2 linked regions of the Mus musculus genome follow. The protein of the gene in region 1 interacts with the protein of each later gene in a pairwise test. Links are inferred from orthologs where the notes say so. Each region holds a gene or a part of one and is shown on either strand. Other genes may lie near its edges.

Region 1 (3,651 bases):
CAGGCTCTTGTTGGAGCTGTTGTGCCTGGAGTGGAAGGGGTGAATAGTGGTTAGCTTAGGAATCTCTAGAGCTGTGTAACGGTGCCCTGCAGACACTTATGCCTCCTGTTCTCAGCTGGAAGAGCATCGGAACTCGCAGAAGCAGATGAAGCTCCTGCAGAAGAAGCAGAGCCAGCTCGTGCAGGAGAAGGACCATCTGCGAGGGGAACACAGCAAGGCTGTCCTGGCCCGAAGCAAGCTTGAGAGTCTGTGCCGGGAGCTGCAACGGCACAACCGGTCCCTGAAGGTAGGCCCATCAGTATCCATTGGGACTTGTGGGCAACTGCGGCTATGCTATACAGTGAGTTCTGGGCCAGCTTGGATTTCATAGGAAGATTTACTATAGAAGAAGAAGTAACAGCAGCAGCAGCTTAGGCTTAGCTCAGTCCCAGGTCCACCAAAGAACAGCTGTGCCTACCTTGCCTGGCGTGCAGGAAGCACCAGATGCGTCAGCCGGAGTCAGCTCCCTCTGCAAACACTCAGCTTCCTAAAACCACAGAGATTGTTTGTCCTGACACCCAGTGTAAAAGCTCTCATCCATGATAAGGGGAACCTGATGGCTTTTCAGATCTGCGCTGAGAGGGGCAGGAGCAGGGTGTGGCAGGAGGGTGTGGGACAGCAGAGCTGCTCAAGAGCACACTTCCCAGTCCTAAGCCGTTTCAGCAGACCTTGGGCACCACAGTAGGCTCCAGAGTCCCCTGCCAAGTAAACCTTTATGGGACCTCAGGATGCAAGGTGGGGAGATGGATCAACCAAGAGCGTGCTTCCCACTGCCAGCATAAGGCCTGGAGCCCGGCGGCAGAGCTGGCCTAAGTAGTGTACCTCGGTGAAGTATGGAGGACTAAGAGATGGCTGAGTAGTAACCTAGTAGTCTTCCAGAGGACCCGATTACTGTTCCTGCACCCACATTCGGCTGTCCGCAAGCCATTTGAGGAGATCTGATACTCTAATCTGACTTCTGGACACCTGCATACATGTGACATACATTCACAGAGACACATAAATATACAGAAATTTTTAAAAGCTTAAGCCAGGCGTGGTGGCGCACGCCTTTAGTCCCAGCACTTGGGAGGCAGAGGCAGGCAGATTTCTGAGTTCGAGGCCAGCCTGGTCTACAGAGTGAGTTCCAGGACAGCCAGGACTACACAGAGAAACCCTGTCTCGAAAAAAACAAAAACAAAAATAAAAACTAAATAAATAAAAAAGCTTAAAACAAAACCAACAAGAAGTGGGTGGGCAGATAGATAACCCAGTGGGTGACAGGCAGACAGATAACCCAGTGGTTAGGGCATGGGCCGCTTTTCTAGAGAAGCCGCTTCAGTGCCCACCTCTCACATGGCAGCTCACAACTGTCTAACTCCAGTGGCAGGAGGTCCATGACTCTCTTTAAAAAGTACAAACTTCTCGTGAATTCCAGGACAGCCAGGGCTACACAGAGAAACCCTGCCTCGAAAAACCAAAATAAATACATACATATATACATACTAAGGTAAAGAAAGCTTGGTGATGGCACTTGACCTCTGGCCTCTAGGTGCACACATGTGCAGTACTATTTATTTATTTATCTATATCTATTTATCTGTTTATTTATTTTGGTTTTTCGAGGCAGGGTTTCTCTGTGTAGCCCTGGCTGTCCTGGAACTCACTCTGTAGACCAGGCTGGCCTCGAACTCAGAAATCCGCCTGCCTCTGCCTCCCGAGTGCTGGGATTAAAGGCATGCGCCACCACGCCCAGCTATAATCTTTAAAAAACAAAAAAACAAAACAAAAAAAACTTAAAAACCAAAACTAGGTAAGAGTATGTGTGTCCATGTCCTTTACCAATTGTGTGCTGAGGAATTTTATCTACAGACTAAATTTCAGAAGTGAAATGGCTGGGTCAGTGGGCACAGCACTAAGTGGCTAATTGATAGAATCGTCTAGGCTGTCTTCATAAAAGTGGGAATGTTTAGGTGCCTCATTTCTTACAACTCTGCTAGTCCTGAATATGACTACATTTTGTTATATTGTTCTCTGTGGGGAACAGGAGGGACTAAAGGACATTAAAATGGACACAAATTGAAACAAGCAGAAATACTTAATCTAGAGTCTGGGAACAAGAATTCAGGCTGTCCAGCTGTTGCAGAATGGCACTTAGCATGGACCCTGAGTATTCTTGGGAGAGTCGCTTGATAACACCTGATTTACAGAGAGGCATGTTAGGAAACCCCATTGTATGACGTCCTACATCCTTGGTGCTCCCCAGGGCCCAAATCGCTGTTGGCAAAGACTGGACTTTGGAACTAGTTAGGGGAGCTTTGTGCAAGGCTGGCAACTATGGACAATTCTTTTCTTCAGGAAGAAGGCGTGCAGCGAGCCCGTGAGGAGGAGGAGAAGCGCAAAGAAGTGACTTCACACTTCCAGGTGACACTGAATGACATTCAGCTGCAGATGGAACAGCATAACGAGCGAAACTCCAAGCTGCGCCAGGAGAATATGGAGCTAGCCGAGAGGCTCAAGAAGTTGATCGAGCAATACGAGCTTCGTGAGGAGGTGAGCTGCAGGCGATTGAGGCCAGCAGCTTGGGAGTCTGTAGTGAGTGCCAGGGCCTGGGGCCGCAACTGCAGGCCTGGGCTTGCTCTTCCTTCAAGAGATGTATCCTGTAGATAAGGAGCTGAAATAAATGGAAAGAAGAGATTACACACACACACACACCAGTGCTTATCCCTGGTGTCTGAACCGGACATCTGTAGAGTATTCAGTGCTAGAGTGGAGGCGTGTCCTCGTCCCAGCTCCGCATCAGACCTGTACATCAGACCATGCCATTCCCAAGGACATGGGTCGGCAGGAGACCGGATGAAGTGCCTTGTTTCCTAGAGTTGGGGCTTTCTTGAAAGGGAACTCCTGACTCCATAAATTACCTTTTCTGCAGCATATCGACAAAGTCTTCAAACATAAGGACCTGCAGCAGCAGCTAGTGGACGCCAAGCTCCAGCAGGCCCAGGAGATGCTGAAGGAGGCAGAGGAGCGGCACCAGCGAGAGAAGGAGTTTGTGAGGCTCAGGCCCCAGGGCTGTGGTGGGGCTGGAAGGAAGTGGGCTGGGTTCTGGCTTAGTTCAATCTATTTCTTATGGATGGGAGAGATTTTGCCTGCCCAATCCAGTAATTGCCTGTCCAGACAGCAGTCTGAGAGCAGGTAGCCTCAGTGGGTCCAGTGCTTGTGGCTAAAGAAGGTCAGACATACCCTCAGGGGCTTCTGACAGGTTCTGGGGTCCTGTCTTGGAAATAGCTCCTGAAGGAAGCGGTGGAGTCCCAGAGGATGTGCGAGCTGATGAAGCAGCAGGAGACCCACCTAAAGCAGCAGGTGAGACGGGAACCTGACCTGCAGTTTCCAGGATGCTTTCACAAGGGCCCATCTGCAGGGCAGTGGAGACAGGACTGTCATAGCCTGGCTTTGTGCCAGCTGGCCTGTTGGTGTCGGCCAAGTCTTTTATTTATGTGTGTTTTGTTTCCCCAAAGACAAAGTTTCTCTGTGTAGCCCTGGCTGTCCTGAAACTTGCTTTGTACACCAGGCTGGCCTGGAACACAGAGATTTGCCTGTCTTAGCCTCCTAAGTAATGGGATTAAATGTAGG
Region 2 (3,751 bases), on another chromosome or scaffold:
CCACCTCTAGAAGGAATGTTTCTACTCAAACAAATCAATAGACCGAGTGGCCGGGGCACAGAGTAATTGCCCTCTTATATCAGCAGCTTCTGGGAAGTTAGATGTGAGTCCTGTAGCCACCTGCAACCTTCTTTCCACTCTCGGGGAGCCACTTTGCTGTGAGCGTAGGAATCTACACAGTGAAACTGGGATCCATCAGGGGTCCTAAGAGGCAGCTCCTACAGCCAGCGTTAGGAAGATAGAAGCAAAAAGAATCCCCTGGTGGTGTCTAGCTGGCCTCAGACAGAGGAAGCAGTATGCAATATATGCAATATGCCAGTTATTAAAAGCAGGAGTTTCGCAGTAATTTAATGTTGCTGTTTCTTTTTTAAGAAGCACTAGATTTAAAAATATTTGCAAGATTCTTATAACAAGTTTGTTTTTGTTTTTGTTTTTTTTTTTAAATAAGGTCCCCTTGCTAACCTAGATGTTCCTGGCAGTTGCAGGCTGCTGGGAGCCAGGCAGAGGATCTATGACCTCTGACAGGCTGCTCACACACCCAGTCCAAGGCCGCACACCCACAAGCATACAGGCAGCACTAATTAGATCCAGTTGGTTATTTTTAAAAAGAAAAAGATAAAAAGAGGTATGAAGTTTGGGTGGGGTTGTGTTAGGCGCTTCGGAGGCAGCTGGAGAGGCGAGTGGGAGAGGAGTTTATCAAGATACGCTACATGTGCATGGATGAAATTATCCAAAAATGCTATTTAAAATATCTTTTTTTAAAAAACTCCAAAATCAACTGACCCACCGCCCACCGATAATCATTTACATATTCACCTACTGACCGTATTCAATTCTTAAACGGGGGTGGGGGGAGCTGCACTTTGAGACAGTGTCTTGTTACACAACACTGGGCTAGACTGGAACACCTTACTTCAACCAGGCTGGCCTCAAACTAGTCCTGATCCCCCCCACCTCTGACTCCCGGGTGCTAGAATCTCAGGTGCACACCCACACACCCAGCTTCACTCAAGACATTTCAATAGACTGTAAATATAAATTCTAAACAAGGATAAACTTAAAAGTAAAAAAAAAATTTAAAGAAGCATAAAACATTTTTTAAAAGAAAATCATTTGAACAAGCCATTGTCTTTTCTCACCAGTGTGACTTATATTATGTTCCCACAGCTGTCTTGTTCGATGCCTGAATTATTCATATAGATTGTAAATATTCTTTATTTGTATACAGGATGAAAAAAAAAAAACCTGCCAGGGCAGGTGCAAGACCTGAAAGGACACCCCTTCCTCGTCCTTTTTGTTATCTCTGTTTATTAAAAAGAAACCTCCACTCCCACCACCCCCACAGGAAAGCCTTTAAAAAGTGCCTCTGGTAGAAATTTCTGGAATGGAATGAAACGTATTGCCGTACAAAAGAGGGGGAAGGGGAGACAGGAAGGTGGACTGTGTCATTCCTGAGGTGACACGGCAGCAGAGGAGGAGTCTCTTGAACTCTATAAAAGGTCATCTCCACAGCAGCCCGAGACAGACAGGCTGTGCTCCAAGTCCAGGCTACAGGCGTTGCCTCCCTACATCCCAGATGGATTTCAGTCGTCAAAGTTTTCACCGAAGTCTGAGTTCCTCCTCACAAGGCCCAGCACTCAGCATGAGTGGCTCGCTGTATAGGAAGGGGACTGTGCAGCGTCTGGGGGCTGCACCCAGCGTCTATGGTGGGGCTGGAGGCCATGGCACTCGCATCTCTGTCTCCAAAGCCGTAATGAGCTACGGGGGTGATCTCTCCAACGGATCGGACCTGTTTGGGGGCAATGGGAAACTGGCAATGCAGAACCTGAACGACAGATTGGCAAACTACCTAGAAAAAGTGCGCTCCCTGGAGCAATCCAATTCCAGACTTGAAGCCCAGATCAAGCAGTGGTACGAAACCAACGCGCCGAGCACCATCCGAGACTATAGCTCCTACTACGCACAGATTAAAGAGCTGCAAAATCAGGTGAGCCATGAAGCCTGTAATTTCTACCTCACTGTTTAGTTGCCTAATGGATTGAGAGATGTATGCTAGGTGAATTCGAACACATGAAGCAGATTAGGTTGAAATGTATAATTGAAAAAAAAATGTATTTTATCATGTGGTATCTGTAAACAGGATGAGTCTAACTCACATTTTTTCTAAAACTTCAACTAATTATATATAAAATATGATCATTTTATCATCCAAAATTGCAGTTCAAATCTTTGTTATGGCTTACAATATAAGGTCTTCATTGTGGATAATCTTATTTTTCAAAGACCTCCAATGGTTTCTATATGTGAGTTTGCCAGTAGTCTTTACTAACTTTGAAGACTCAAGTTGATTTAAAGAGATTTTTCATCTTTCATTATATGAATGTTATAACAAATATATTAACCTACTATGGGTATAAATAACAAAAGGGTTCAGGGTGGATACAGATTACAGATATTAATGATATGTATACTGATTGATAAATAGTTGTGTGATAGGGGATGGATGGATGGATGGATGGATGGATGGATGGATGGATGAACTGCTCTTTGATACAAGATCTGTGTATCCCAGGCTAGTCTGGACCTCACCATCCTCCTGCCTCCACTGCCTCAGCACTGGGGTTAAAGAACTGTGCCACCATACACGGTTCTGATACCTGGATTTTTTAGTGTCTTATTTAATTATCTCCTCACTATCACCAAGCATTTTATAATGCACCTCTGTGATAATAAAATGTTCTATTGCCCCCAATTTAAGTTTATTACAGTCATATCACAATCTGTTCCTGTGTCATCCATGGTAGGTGGGGTTCCCCTTTCTATAAAGCCAATGGAATAAAAGTGGGAGACTTCGCTCCTGACTGAGGACCTCAAGCATCGGCACACACCATTTGCCCAGCCCCGGGGTTCTTATCTCATCAGGAAAAGCCTCCCCTTGGGTTTTGTTTAAATCTCGAAATGATTGCAAAGGCCTTTAGAGCAAAGACCTTTGTCTTAACCACAGGCCTCTTGTCTTGAGTTCTGTTTGAATTACAGGCATCAATGCAGCTTAATTCAGACTTCATAGCCCATGAAGCTGTGTGGTGCTTACATTGCCCTTCTCATCAACAGGACGGTCCTTCAGGCTTCTCGATACAACACAAAATTCAAATTAAGCACTTCTCTCATGGTTGACGCTTTTGAATTGACTTGGGGATTACCCATAGTACTTAGGCACAGCCATTAGTGACCAGTGGTTAGGGACCTCTCTCCAGGAATAGCCGCTGAAAGGGATATGTCTAAAATCTTCTAGAAGTAGACTTCTAATCTACTTCTTAATACGGTGTTTGCCTTGAAACATGAGAACCTGACTTCAGTCCCCAGGTTACAAAGCAAAGCTGTAGAATGACTGTGTGTGCTTGTACTCCCAGCATTGGGAAAACAAGCAGATTCCTGGGACTTGCTGGTCAGCCAGCCTGGCCAACTTGGTGAGTTCCAAGACAATGAGAGACCCTGCCATACACACACACACACACACACACACACACACACACACACACACACAAAGGTAGCACTTAAGGAATGGCATGTAAGATTGTCCTCTGACCTCCACATACATACACCTGTGCATATAAACATGTACACACAGAGAGAGATGCACACAGATCCAGGATGTATCCATCCTTCTGTCCTGCGCCTAACTCCTACAGATAGCAAGTGCTTTAAGTGGAAACAGGCACAGACCACAGAAACCATCACTCAGAGAGGTAGA

The links.
Region 2: the proteins of Txlna (region 1) and Krt20 interact in binary tests that used the Homo sapiens proteins (3 or more experiments, as listed by UniProt). The two-hybrid records come from large-scale screens. The link is inferred for Mus musculus from reciprocal best matches to the Homo sapiens genes TXLNA and KRT20.

Annotation. Positions count from the first base shown.
Region 1 is NC_000070.6:129,631,010-129,634,660, reverse strand, and holds part of Txlna (alpha-taxilin), read left to right. Parts: intron 1-115; coding exon 116-286; intron 287-1,838; exon of another isoform or gene 1,839-2,376; coding exon 2,377-2,571; exon of another isoform or gene 2,572-2,692; intron 2,693-2,950; coding exon 2,951-3,070; intron 3,071-3,306; coding exon 3,307-3,381; intron 3,382-3,651. UniProt on the Homo sapiens protein: May be involved in intracellular vesicle traffic and potentially in calcium-dependent exocytosis in neuroendocrine cells.
Region 2 is NC_000077.6:99,435,923-99,439,673, reverse strand, and holds the start of Krt20 (keratin, type I cytoskeletal 20), read left to right. Parts: upstream 1-1,520; 5' UTR 1,521-1,576; coding exon 1,577-1,987; intron 1,988-3,751. UniProt on the Homo sapiens protein: Plays a significant role in maintaining keratin filament organization in intestinal epithelia. When phosphorylated, plays a role in the secretion of mucin in the small intestine.